Notamacropus eugenii: one gene and its partner. The protein of the gene in region 1 interacts with the protein of each later gene in a pairwise test. Links are inferred from orthologs where the notes say so. Each region holds a gene or a part of one and is shown on either strand. Other genes may lie near its edges.

What was found.
Region 2: the proteins of RGS19 (region 1) and GNAO1 interact in a two-hybrid assay, tested with the Homo sapiens proteins (2 studies listed by BioGRID). The link is inferred for Notamacropus eugenii from reciprocal best matches to the Homo sapiens genes RGS19 and GNAO1.

The regions. Positions count from the first base shown.
Region 1 is NC_092872.1:496,030,314-496,037,646, reverse strand, and holds the start of RGS19 (regulator of G-protein signaling 19), read right to left. Parts: upstream 3,009-7,333; 5' UTR 2,937-3,008; coding exon of another isoform or gene 2,907-2,936; 5' UTR 2,864-2,906; coding exon 2,598-2,863; intron 1,214-2,597; coding exon 1,139-1,213; intron 889-1,138; coding exon 654-888; intron 130-653; coding exon 1-129. UniProt on the Homo sapiens protein: Inhibits signal transduction by increasing the GTPase activity of G protein alpha subunits thereby driving them into their inactive GDP-bound form. Binds to G-alpha subfamily 1 members, with the order G(i)a3 > G(i)a1 > G(o)a >> G(z)a/G(i)a2.
Region 2 is NC_092872.1:473,622,575-473,629,601, forward strand, and holds the start of GNAO1 (guanine nucleotide-binding protein G(o) subunit alpha), read left to right. Parts: upstream 1-4,022; 5' UTR 4,023-5,118; coding exon 5,119-5,236; intron 5,237-5,600; coding exon 5,601-5,643; intron 5,644-7,027. UniProt on the Homo sapiens protein: Guanine nucleotide-binding proteins (G proteins) function as transducers downstream of G protein-coupled receptors (GPCRs) in numerous signaling cascades.

The sequences.
Region 1 (7,333 bases):
CAGGAAGCGAGGGTAGGAGTCCCTATGCATGAGGGTGTAGATCTGGAGCTGGGCATCATCAAATGTATTGGATGATGGCTCTTGCATCTTTTTGTTGATGACCTCTCGTACCCTGGAGTCCAGGCTCACCTGAGTATGAGGATCATAGGTGAGCATGCATTCCTGGTACCCTGAGGCTTACCAGTCTTGGGGGTTGGGGCTTACCTTCCCCAGAGGCCACAACACTGGTGGCCCCCTCTCCTTCCCTTCCCTCCCTGGGGTTGGACAGGATCATCCCTTCTAGGGATTCAACCTCACTGGCCTTTCTGTATTTTCCCCCTGCCACCCTCCTGCTGACTCCACACTGGCAAAATGGGGAGATTAATTTTGGACTAGTCAGACCAATGCTTGTCTCCCAGGGAACAGGCAACATTGACGAAGCATCTACCAGATAATGACACAATCCATCCCATCACCCTGGTCCCTCTTTGGGGTAAATACAATGCCAAGCATTAGCGGTGATCTTGGCCCCAAAAGGGTTAACCCTGTCCTGGAGTGGAGGATGGGCTTGGTGACTGTGGGAATGAGATAGAAGAATGAGGGCAGGAGCCTGAGCTGGGGAGGAGAGGGGGACACTGAAGTTACTGAGGTTCTCTGGGGGCCCTAGGCCGCACCTCTTTGGGAGACAGGATGGAAATATAGTCCTCGTAAATAAGCCGAGCCTTCTCATCGATGACTTGCTTGTTGCCTTCTCCCTTGAGCTCCTCACAGGCCAGCCAGAAGAGCATGTTCTCTTCACTGTATTCTGTACGAAGGAACTCCCGGAACACATTGCGGCCAGCAGGATTCTTCATTAGCTTGTCAAAAGATTTTGCCCAGCTCTGGACCTCCTCTTGGCTAGGCTTGACACTGCAAATGTGTAAGTCCACATGGAGGAGATAGACATTTGTGAGGGTATCATCTGACCTTTATTCTCCCATCACCAGCTTTCTCCACTCCCCTCGTTCTCCAAAGCTATTTTGCTTGGAAAATTCTGAAATTCCCTCAGAGCCAAAGTTAAGCTTCCTGACTGCTGAAACTTGCTAATCCTACTGTGAAGTTCCCCAGGGGAGAGAGCTTCCTTCTCCATGATTGTGGGCAAGTAATGGGAGGGAATTACCAAGTTTCACAGTTGGGGATGGTCTCCAGTCTGGTCTCTCTAGAGGTCTTCCAAGCCCGCTGCCGATCTTCATTCCTAATGGTGAGATTGAAAGGTCATACCAGCACCCAGCACACTGACATGGTCACACCCCCCCACCCCCATACCCTTCTCACACAGGAGCACATGTCCTGATATAAGCATGTGGATTCGGACACATGCTTACAGATAGAGGAGCACTAGTGCATAGTTATACATAGACACATTCAAGACATGTTACACATACATACATTCACACTTTTGAGACCCCAACCTAGGCTCATACATCCTCACCTTTTCATATCTTTTATAAGTAAATCTCCAAGCAGGAAGGGGGAAGTTCTGGAACCCAAGACTGAGGAACAACACTTCCATAAGATGTCCCTAGAATTTGGGGTTCCAAGGGAGGAGAAAGAGCATGCCTTTCTGCCTCTGCCACCAGTAGGTTTTGATTGCTTCATCTGGCCTCAGCATGGCTAACCCTTTCTTCCTTAGCCTTCTCTTTCCCCAGGAATAAGACCAGGCCTCAGACACTGAGTGAGACTTTCATTTTCTCTAAGAAGACTTCAACTTATCTAGTCCAGTGATCTTTTCTTTCTTTAGTATTTTGAAGTAGTTATATAACATGGAGTTATAGAATGTCAGACCTGGAAGGGGTTTAGGAGATCTTATAAGTGTAAACTCTCATCTTAGAGATAGATAAAAAAAGATTAACCAAGGAAAGAAGATCACTTGCCTAAGATCACACAGCTAGTAAAGACTAGACCATAGGATGTAGCACTTGACTGTGTCTTACTCTTTCCTTTCAATCTGCAAGATCCGTCTTCATTGACTGTCCCCTAATGATGGTGACAGTTGCCATTCCTGCATCTGTTTCCTCAAGACTGGCAAGTGCCCAAGGACGGGACCCCAATCTGCTCATCCTGTTTTCTCAGAATTATCAGTTCACCAACGGTGAGGATAGAGTCTAACTCCCTTCATGGTGGCAAGAGGGATGAGATGGCTCCAGAAAAGGCTGGATGGCTGCCACTTACAGACTCTTAAGGTCAAATGCTACTGAAGTGTGTTTTAACTACCGCATTAGATTATCTGCTTTCCTGCTCTACTATCAGTCAAGTGACCTGAAGGGTAGGTGCACTGGGGTCAAATCTCAAGATTTTAGTTGAGGTTGTCAGTCTTTGGTTCAAGTTTTAGAGGTTCTACCCAAAGGAAGAGGGATGGCTACCTGTGATTGTAATGACTCACAACCAATAAAGCAGCCACCTCGTAGGTGTTGGAGGGTACCTGCCTAGGAGGTGCTGGTGTCAGGATGGCAGAACACCATTCTAGATATTCATTTGTTAAGGCCACCACACACACACACACACACACACACACACACACACACACACACACACACACACGCAGATGTGCAAACATGTTTATGTACATAAACACTTACCATGAACAGCTGCAGCAGCAGCACCAGCAGAAGCAGCAGGCATTGGGCCGGGAAGGAGCCAGAGGGGCTGGGTCATTTCGGGACATAGATGGGGGCCTGTCTGCCTCCTCAGGCCCTGTATGCTGAAAAACAAAAGTAAGGAGGCCTGGGGCCCTGCCCCAGTGTATGGTTCCCCCCAACCCCAGGGTTGATCCTTCCCAGACTGGGCAGCTCATCTTTCCCACTTTCTTCTTATTCTCTGCATTCCAAAGGTATGTTGTAACCATTTCCCTGAAAGGGCAAATTGAGGTCAAGGTGTTGTTCTCTCACCTGCTTCCCAGCCTCATCAGCTGTCGGCATGAATGGGCTGTATTTGTCCCTAGTGCTCCTTCCACTTTAGGCCCCAATGCCCACACTCTTTGCTTACACGTTCTGGGAAAAATAGAGAAATAGGCTTAGTCCTGAACCTCATTGCTGAACCTTCTTTACTCCTCTTAGAAATAAGGACCTTTGCCTCTACTTCAAGCACAGAATTTCCCCCTTTCAGCTTCTGTTCTTTTTCCGTTCGGGAAAAATGGACATGAGAGGAGAGCTTGGGCTAGATTTGCAGAGAGGGCCACTGCTTCTCCTTTATTAGAGTAAACTCAATCCTAGGCTGGGTTTCCCAATACCCAGCCAAGAATGTGATCAACCTGGCTTCCCAGAGATAAGGAGGAGGCACTTTGGGCTCTGCTGTTTTGGTTATCCCATCATTCCTGCCTTCATTGGTCTGAATAATTCAGAGTGGACTGTACTTGACTCAGGATTGGTTCTGTGGGCGAAGGAAGAGACCACAAAATCCTTTCCCTTCTCCTTCCCCACTCATGACTGTTCTTTAGAAGTGACTTCTGGTTACTCAGCTCAGGTTCCTGACACATCCCTGAGCCTTGAATAACAAGGTGAGGTCCCCAATGTCCTCTCAGTGCTGGTTCTCCCATTTTCCTTTCTCCAGAAGCTAAGATAGGGTGAGTGAAAAGGCAAGATACAAACAGAAAGTAACAATAGAAAGTATGATTAGTAGTAAAAAGAGAGAAGAGAAAGTAATAGATGAGAAGTAGCTGGAAGTTAGAATGCCTACATCACAGTGAGTATTGTGTGTATCAGGAGATAACATATGTGAAACACTTTGGCTATCCATGTCAATTATTATTTTTCAGAAGCACTCCTCACACAACTGAGGGAAATCACTGCAATTGAGGGGGTGTTTTGATTAGAATCTGTTAATTGCAAATCAGAGGCACCTGACTAGCACTAGGTATCAGAAAAAGCTGAAATGCCCCAGAAAAAGGTGGGAAACATCTAAAAAAAAAATCTAGGAAAAAAATTTTGCTTGAAATTCCTTCCTACAATTCCCCTTCCCCCTCAACCCCCTCAAGCCTGAGGCTGTCAGGAAGAGGAAGCAGCAAAAGCCCACACTGGAACAAGGCATCTCAACTTCAGCAGGTAAAGAGAACAAAGGGAGTGTTGTGGATAAAGTGTGAGCTAGTCTCATTATAACAGAAGGTGAGAAGGCTGGAGCAATGTCTGTCTGTCTACTCTTCAGTTTATCACAAAGAATTAAAGGATTGAGAGAGAGATGGGGAGAGAGAGAGAGAGACAGAGAGACAGAGAGATACTTCTGAAGGGTAACACAGTGTGTGAACCTGGCTCTTATGACCTTTCCTGAAGCTGTGCAGACTTGATCACTATCCATTTTTGGTGATTTGTGTAGAGATGAATGATATTGCTAGAAGGACCCTCTAAAACACCACTTGGGATTATGGGGTCCTAAGCAATAGTTAGGACAGAGGTCATACTTTCACCAAGTATGCAGATCAAAGGTAAGAATGATGGCCAGGAATGGATAATATCTAAAGAGGACTGGTAAACAACATATTTTCTTGCAGGTCTGTTCAGGAGGGCTTTACATTCAAACTAGAAAGGGAGCGGGGAAAATGGTTCATATTATTTACCAGGGCAGATAATAATAATATATAACAATCTAGGTGCTTTACAAATATTATCTCATTTGATCCTTTCAGTAACCCTGGCTGGGTGGGTGGGGAAGATAGGTGTTATTATCCTACGTTACAGTTGAGGAAATTGAAGTAAAAATGGTAAGTGACTTGGCTAGGGTCACATAGCTAGTAGGTATCTAAGGCTGGATTTGAACTTGGCTCTTCCTGACTTCAGGCCCAGTACATTATCCACTGCACTACCTTGCTGCCCTAGACAGCATTTGACCTATAGGTATAGTGCAGGATTTAAGGACTAGTCATTTGACAACGTCAAATAAAAGTGACAGCAATAAAACCCACATAAAAATAGGTAAAATAAACATAATGAACTAGAGATGAATGAGAGAGGTATTAGTAAAAGCCTTTCTTTTCTTTTTGGCTGACTTGCTCTGTAGTTTGGTGGTTTGTGGCTCAATGAATAGAATATGGCTATGAAAAGTCATATCTTATTCAAGAGGATCAGACTAGGCAGAGATGAAGGGTCAGTAACTTGCTACTTCAAAGATGTGGAATCCTATGTGAGCATGCATGTGTCTGAGGAGAGGAAGCCTGGTGAAGAACATCTGGGAGCTAATCAAAGGAGGAAGAAGCCAGTGACACAGTCAATACTGCACTACAGGCTACTAGGGCAGCTGGATGGTGCAGATGATGAGCTCCTGACAGAGCACCTAAAGACACGGAGGCAGAATAGAGCTCTGATGGAGGATTTCAATTATTTAGACAATTCATTCAAAAGGGGTTAAGAACTGATTAAGCTCTTCTGTTTGCAGAGTACTATGTGAGGTACTGGAAGAGGTGGTGGTGGTGGTGGTAGTGGGAGTGATAGGTGATTGACAAAGCTTAGAGAAGACAGTGTTCCTGCTCTCAAGAAACTTAAATGTAGGAGGGCAACATAACACAAACATACATAATAGTACATGATAGGTGCATTGGAGAGTTGCAAAGCAGTGTTATATGAGATTTGAGGCAAAAGCATATTTTTTTGAGGCATTAGGGAAAAGCTTCATGGAGGAGGTGGCATTTGAATGGAGTTTTAAAAGATGAGGAAGGAGAGAGGAGGCCAGAGGGCATTCCATAGGTAGGGTAGGTCAGCCCACTAGTGGAGACACAGGAGGAAGGGTTAGAGAAGTAGGAGAAGCAGGAGGGGGAGGCATCTTTGAAGCCAAGGCAGTAATCAACAGTGATGAAATCTGCAAATGGAGATTTCATCTCCTTATTTCTCACCCGGCTGGACTATTTTGGTTCTTCTCTGACTGACATCCCCCCTCCCCGCCCCGGTCAGCTTCCTTCTCCTTCCCCCCACCCACTTTTTAGCTTCCATTTTATATGTAGTTTTCTCCAATTGGCCTGTAAGCTCTTTGAGAGCAGAGTCTTTTTTCATATTTGCATCCCCAGCACTTTGCAAAGTACCTGGCAAATAGTAGATGCTTAATAAATGGACAAAGGACTAGTAGAATGAAAAGAGACCATTGGTATTGGTGATTCTAAGGTCATTGGTAACATTGGAGAGAATATCTTTTGTTGAGTGTGTGTGTGTGTGTGTGTGTGTGTGTGTGTGTGTAAGACAAGTTGTTGAGCAGAGAATGTGTAGTAAGAAAATAGAAGCATCAGGTTTTTTAAAATTTTTTTTGGTTTGTTTTTTTTTTTGAAGAAATTTAGCAGTAAGGGGAGGAGATAGAGGAGCTGGTAGTAGGGTAGAAGGGTCAATGGAAGGCTTTTTAAGGACTGGGGAGACCTGAATATGTTTGGAGGCAAATGGAAAAGGGCCATTAGAAAGGGGAAGACTGAAGATACAAGAATGAGGGGGTCTGACTAAGAAAGCAAGATAAACAAGAATATTGCCTTCTTAAAGCCAAGAGGGATATGGAATGGGTGGTGATGCTGAGAAGTTTTAAGGAATGGAGGAGAATGACTGAGGGAGTTCATGTCAGGCCTCAGTCTTCTCAGTGATGCAGGAAGCTAGGGTTGTGTGTTCTGTGTCTAGGAAGAAGGATAGAATTTGGGGGAAAGGGAAAGGAGAGAAGAAAAGGTTTGCACCAGACATTATGGGGAATTAGATAAAGAACTGGTAAAATTAGAGTAGGGTTTTTGAACAGTAGCCAGGGCCCAGATGAGTTTATATACTATAAATTTGTGATGGGAGAACTCAGTTGAATTTGGGAATTTTCTTAAGTAATACTCAGAGCTGTGTTGGAGAAATCACTGAATCTCAGACATGGAAGGGACCTCAGAAGTCATCCAGTTCAGTTGATACCAGAAGGGATGTTTCCCAAGTTTCCTTGGGAAAACCCAAAACAACATCCTTGACAAATAGTTCCTCTTATGGGTTCAATGATAATTTCCCACAGAGACTACCCCCAAATCTATATAGCCACCCTTAATTTCCTGTGTGCTATCTTGCATCACCCACTTGTCTGCTGGCTGTCTTTGCCTGGATAGCTCATAGGAACCTCAAATTCACCATGTCCAAAATCGAGCTCATTATCCTCTCCTAAATCCACGCCTCTTTCAAACTTCCTAATCTCTGTCATACTCTAGTCATCCAAGTTTATTCTTCTCTTTTTTCCTACTCCCTCCCCCCTCTACCCTCATCCAGTCAGCAGGTACTATCTCCACAACATCTTTCACATTTGTCTCTTCATTTCCCATTTGTTACCCTTGTCTGGACTATTTGAAATAGCTTCCTAACTGGTTTTCCTGCTTCCAGTTTCTTTCTCTCTC
Region 2 (7,027 bases), about 22 Mb from region 1:
GCCCACAGTAGAACTTTCTTCAACATTGGAGTCAATCCTCTCAAACCATGCGACTACTTTGTCAACTAAGTTTATGTAATATTCTTCAATATTGTTGTGTCTCAGGGATTAGGAAGGTTGGGGTGGGGGAGAGGGAGAGAGCGAAGGAGAGAGAGAGATCACAAATATAATAACGAAAAAGTCTGAAATATTACAAGAATTACCAAAATGTGACAGTGACAGGATGTGATAACAGGCTGTTGGAAGAATGGAACCAATTAACTTGGTTGATTCAAGGATGCCACAAACCTTCAATTTGTAACAAAAAAAAAAAAAAGGCAATATCTGCAAACTACAATATAACAAGGTATGCCTGTACCCCATTTCTGGGCTGTGAGCTCCTCTGGGGTTATTTTACAAATATTATATATTATACAAAATATATGCAGCATGTTATTTTATAAAGTGTTCCATGGGTATAGTATTTTATAAGGACCAAGTACTTTAAATTAAGATAGTAGGATGACCGTACAAAAAGAAAATATGTCAATCAAACATATTTATTCATATGAAAACATCCCCTAAAAAAAGTCCAAATCAAGTCTCAAAACACAAGTTTCTATTCTACCAGCTTTAGGATGAGGAATGAAGGATCATGGAAGCTGGGGATATTTTGGGGTTTTCATGAAAATTGGATGTTCTCAAGAGCTCTTGCCTTGAGTTCTCCAAAAAATAGTCTTTTAGGTAGGTGTGGGTTTGGCATTTGGACTACATGGTCAGCCTATCAGAACTCCACTCTCTGTAGCACAGTTTGAATACCTTGACAGAATACACCTTGACAGAAGACCTCAGTGTTCACTACTTTATCCTGCCTGATAATCTTCAGACTCTTCCTAAAACAATTCAAATGTCTAGGCTTCACAGGCATACAACTAGGAAGTCGGTACAACAAGGTCAGAAGAAGTGGTACAAGGACACTCTCAAGGTGCCTCTGAAGAACTTCAGTATTCATAATGAGACGTGGGAGATTCTGGCATAGAACTACCCAGCATGGCATGCCTGAATCAAAGAAGATGCTGTGTTCTATGAAGTAGCACAAAGGAAAATGTAAGATGCACGAATCTAGAGACATCTTCCTACCAAATGTTCAAATGGATTATTTGTACCCAACCTATGGCAGAGCCTTCCAAGCTCATATTGGACTAATCAGCCATAGCTGAACACACTGTACCTTGACCCCAATATCATGGTATCATTAGTTCTCGTCAGAGTATGAAGGACTAAGAACAACAAGATGTTCTCGTAGGCTTACACTATAACTTCAAACAATAACAACAAAAATCATAGACCTTTAGAATGGGAAAGGCCAATCTAGTCCAACCTCTTCATTTTAAAAATAAGCAAAATGAAGCCCAAAGAAGGAAAGAACTTCTCCAAGTCCATAACTGGTGAATAGTCTGGAGTAGAATCTGTCTCTTCTGATTCTCAGTCCAACGTCTTTCCCAAGAAATAATGTTGATGAATAAGTGACAGGAGGCAAATCAGATCTTTAATTCAAATATAAACTGTTCCCATTTCCCACAATGGAATAATGGAATCCTATTTTTTAGTCCTTATTCTCCGAGGTCCTTTTGAGCACTATCTATGATCCCATGATTCTTAAAATGCATCTCCATACGGGTTAGTTAGTTTCTTCTCATAAGATGTACTAAAAAAAAGGTTCCAGCTTAGTATATATGCACCACCACCTTAGTATCCTTTGAAGAGGGCAGCAAACTCTCTTAAAGAGAAGTGTAATTGAATTCTAATTTATAATCTATGAGGACTAGTGGTTTTTTCTGAAGACCAGAACTATACATGTGTACTCACACTTTAAGCAAACATGATGAATAAAGGTCTAAATCTTCACTTTACAAAAGGATTTACCATAGAATTCTTTATTGAATAGCCTTACCTCCCCATTAATGCAATACACTTACATACAACTTGAATAACATACATGTTATACAGCATTTGAGGATGTGAGCCATTTCATAAATAAGATATGCCTGTGCTAGGAAATATTTGCTTTGATGTAGACAGTAGATCTATATCTATCTATCTACTTCAATGGTCCAATGTATCTGAGATCAAATAGATTTAGGAACCCCTCCCTCTGCCAATACAATCCATTCATGACTTCTCACGCTATGTGATTCTTGTCCATGTCCTTTCATAAATCTTCCACAATATCTAAGCCAATATTCTAGAATTCTTCAAGTCCCAAACACAAGTATTTTCTTCTGGGTGCAGACCTTTATTTTGGTTATCAGTGTTTATATTTCCAAAACAGGAGTATCTGCTTTTATTATTGCAATGAAGCCAATGGATTTGTTTTTAGAACCATGATGATGCCCAAAGGTTCTAGGCAAGGTTTCCACTAATTTATACTCCCCCTGAAACCTTTCCTGATGGTTTAGTTCTCCAAGAGAAATTTGTCTCTTCTGGAGAGGCTATCTCTTTGAACTAATTATTAAAAGCAGTTTTACATGTAGAATGAGCTTCTTCAGAAAACAAGCCCAGTTATTTTGGAGAATATTCACGTTTGTACAACATTGGCTCAATTAACTATTCTGATGGATTGGCCTATTATTCAATCTCTATCAGGTGAGAAAAATGAAAGGAAGAAAGAGTTGATTAAAGGAGGAAGCCATTACAAGGAGAGTAGCTTTTTTCTTCACTAAGAATCTACATCAAAAAACCTCCTTTTGGGGGGAAGACTTAAGTTCCCTGAATTTTTCTAAATTAAATCCACTCCACCCAAACCAAATGGTTAAATCAAAAGGGGTCATTTTTAAAGTCATTAAAATATTTTCTGGGTATGTAGCATTAAGTTAGACTAGAAATTCCTTGAGGGCAGGAATTCTGTATTATTCAAATCTTGTACTATTCCAAGTGTAATATATATATATATATATATATATATATATATATATTAGCATTAATAAATGTTTGTTGATGTTCTCAATGTCTTATGCGGAAGAATGTCTTTACCTTCTTAGCAACTTGTAATGGAAAGAAGTCTGGACTGGGAGCCAGGAGAACCTGGGTTCCAGAGTCTGCTCTGCCACAGAACTCCAGCAAGTCTCTTCTTTCTAGACCTCAGTTTTCCCATCAGTAAGAAATGAGCTGAAATCTATGATCCAAGATCCCTTCTCCTTCTGACAATTCAAGCCTTACTTACCCACTCTGGACCTAACTTTCCTTCTAAAGGCTTAATTAGATGATCAGAGGTTCCTTCCAGCAAGCAGTGCTGTATGAACTGTAAATCAGAGGGCTTAGGTTTGAATTCCAGCTCTGTGATCCTAAACCGCTTCATCTCTCTGTGCCTCAGTTTCCTCACCTGTAAAATAAGGAGGGAAAGGGATTTGGACTAAATGGTCTCTCGGGTCCCTCTGGACCTGTTTCTTTAACGATAAAACAAGGGGTTGGGACTGGGTGGCACCGGGACTCAGTGTTCTCATCTGTCAAATAAGGATCTTGGTCCCGGAGGTCCCTCCGGGCCTTGGTTTTCTCATCCACAAAACAAGGGACTGGACGCGATGGCCCCGAGGTCCTCGTGGCTCTTGGGCTTCCTTCAGACGGCCCGGAGCCTTCGACTAAAGCCACGTCCTGACCAGAAAATAATGGAAAACTTTCAGCTACTACCCCGCGAAAGAAAGTCGTTTGGGCCCTAAAAAGGGCCTCCATTTGGGGGATGTGGCTGGGCCTCCGCTAGCACATCGACTGCGGACAAGGAGCGGAGGAAGCGAAGGAGAATGCAGAGGAGCCGAGGGGGCAGAGGAGGTGAGAGGAGGGAGGAGGCGCGCACGCCTCGCCAGCCTCCCCCTGCCCCCTCCATCCTCCCGACCCCCTCCCTACACCTTGCTACACTGCCTCTGCGCTGCAGCGCTCCCATTGAGAACGAGGAGAGGGAAGGGCGGGGCGGGGGAGCCGAGGCCGCGCGCGCGCGCCCGCCTGCACCCCAGGCTCCGCCCTCCGTCTTCTCCCGACAACGTCGGGGATGGGGATGGCGAGGAGAGCTCTCCTGAGTCCTCGCGCGCACACGCGCGCGCGCTTTCTCGCTCGCTCGCGCCCCCTCCCCAGGGCCCGGCGAAGCCGCCCGCTCTCGAGTCCCAGGGCGAGCAGGCGCGCGTCCCTGCTGACGTCATTGAGGCCGGCGAGCCTGTGCGGTGTGGGCTAGAACCCCTGGCGCACTCGCGCACTCCGCTCTTTTCCTTCCCTCCCCCCTCCCTCTCATCCCCCCCTCCCTCCCAGGCTCTCTTTCCCCCTTCTTTTTTTTTCCCTCTCCTCTCTTCTCTCTCCTCTCGCTCTCTCTCTCTCTCCATTAGGATCCACTGAACGATGCGATCTCTGGGAGCCAGCGCTGTCGCCGCCGCCACCGCCCGCTAGAAACCTTTCCCCCCCTTCCCCCCTTCCCCACCGCTTGCAAAGCCCCCCAAAGAAGAGGGAAAAGGAAAAAAAAGAAGAAAGAGAAGGGGAGGGGATGCAATACTAATCACCGTCCTAATAATCCTCTCTACCGAAGGATCCACCCGGGCTGCCCCCCCATCCCCATCCCCATCCCCACCCTCCTCCGGCTCCTGGCTCCATCGAGCGCCTCTGCCCTTTATTTTTATTTTTATTTTTAATTTTTTGTAATACTCCTCGGAGTCCGCAGCCTCGCGCTGCCGCCGCTGCTGCTGCCGCCGCCGCTGCTTCCCCCGCCGCCGCCGCTGCTCCGGAGCCCCGGCGGTGGTTGCCTCTTTTCGGATGCGTTGCTCGCCAGCAGCTGGGAGAGACCCGCAACCCTGTCTCTAGAGCTCACCACCCCAGCCCCGACCCCAGCCCCGATTCCAGCCTCCTCCTGCAGGTGACCGGAAAAGGGAGCAGTAGCCTGAAATCCACCTTGCGAATTTTTGGGGGGAGGGGCTGCATTTTTATTGTGTTTGGGAAACTTGATTTCTTTTTAAAAGAAAAAAAATACAAGAAAGAAGGAAAGAAAATTAGCGATTTTTTTTAAAGGACAGAAATAAATATTTCTGGGGGGGTGGGGTGGGGGGTCAAGCCGAGCAGGGGAACCGTGCCAGCCGAGGCGTGCGGGCTGTTTTGGGTGTCACGATGGGATGTACATTGAGCGCAGAGGAGAGAGCCGCCTTGGAGAGGAGCAAAGCGATTGAGAAAAACCTCAAAGAGGATGGCATCAGCGCCGCCAAAGACGTGAAATTACTCTTGCTGGGTAAGAGAGCCTTGGCCACTTCCTCACCCCCACCCCTCTCCGCCAGACCCCCAGAACAGCCAGGCTGCACCCTATTCCAAACAACGCCCCCACCGCCACCTCTGTATTTCACCCCTTTCTTCACCCTTCTCCCTTATTCTGTGTTCAGGAAGACTTGTCCTGAGTCCAGAGAGACCTTTCCCTTCTTAGATTTGCAACAAGATAACCAAGCCATTGCACACACACGAATCTTCTGCCAAAAAAGCTGATCCCCTGCATCCTTCAGTCCAGCTGCTCCCTTCCTCCTCCCAGTGTAATCTCCCAGTTCTTCTAGCCTGACACTGACTAGCTTTTTTCCTTTTTTTTTTTTTGTCTGTCCCTACAGGGGCTGGAGAATCAGGCAAAAGCACCATTGTGAAGCAAATGAAGTAAGTCCCTATTGTATTGGGATTTTAATTTTTTTCCCTTTCTTCCAGCTCTCCTTTAGGCCCCGTTTGTAATTCTTGTCCACAAACACATAACACTTTGACACCCCCTCCATCTCTCTTCCCACCTTAGGTGTTTCTCTTCCCTCCACCCCATCTCCCAGGAGAGATGTTTTTAGGGAGGGGTGAGGAGAAAGGATGATGGTGGGGGCTGTAGTTGTGTGAATGACAATGTCCGCCATATTGATCAGAGCATCATCACTATTGGCAATATTGTGAATGTTATTTCCTACTGGTGGGGTGTTTTTCCCTATCCCCTCCCTCCCCAACCCCATCCTCCACTCTTCTCTCTCCTCCCCTTCTCACAGCTGCACCTGTGGCAGGGATTTATTTCTGGCTTGCCTAGAAGATGGAGGGGAGGGGACCTTGTCTTTTGCTCTGGGTGGAAAATCAAGTGTCTGCTGTTCATGGTTTTGGTGCTGAATTGGAGGTAGTGGGGGTTTCTCTATCTCTAGCCTTCTGTCTCTCTCCCATGGACACATACATTCACATATACTCCCATGGGGTGGGGGGCTCAAGATGAGAGAAGAGGAGTGGGTGGCTTTCCAGGCTGATGTGAATGGCACAGATGTAACCAGGGCAGAGCCATCAAAAAGACCTGTGTCAATTAAGCTTAATGTCAGCTTTCTATCTCTCAGCTCTTTCCTCTCTGCCCCCACCCTCCCTGATGTTTGATCTCTTGACATGGGCTAACTCCATGGCACTTACATTATTTGTTTGCTGAATAAGGTATGTTATATTTAAATCTACCTACAAGGCAGATTTAAAACAAACCTTGCAGCCACCCCAAATCTCCTTCTACTCAAGGGGTCAGTCTTTAATTAGACTAACTGGAATTTTGACTATTGATAGAAATGTTTTCTTTTATTGATATTATTTTTAAGTGAAAGAAAATCTTATAATCTCCATAAAAGTCTCACCCTCTTTCTGAATATACACATTTTATTGTTCCTTGTTCTTGATACCCAACGTTTCTTGGGGAGTTCTAAGGCAGGTTTGTTTTAGATTTGGGGGAGGGGACTTAGAAGGTGTAGGTGCAGGGATTTTTGTGCTCCATTCTCCACCACCGATCTTGTGTCTTTGCTACTTCCGTTATCCTCCCCATTTGGAGTTCGTTTGAGACCGTTTAGTGAGGCTTCCACGTCGGTTTGCTGTGACACCTTTACATATACACAAGGTTCCTAATTAGGGGTTGCTATGCAGTAAACAAAAATGATTATTTTTCAACTTGACAGAATAGCTGAAGTAATTGCATCCCGCAGGAAAACAATGGAAAATAAAAATCTCTTTCTTGGGGAGGTGGGTGAGGGAGGAAGCCTGTTTGCGA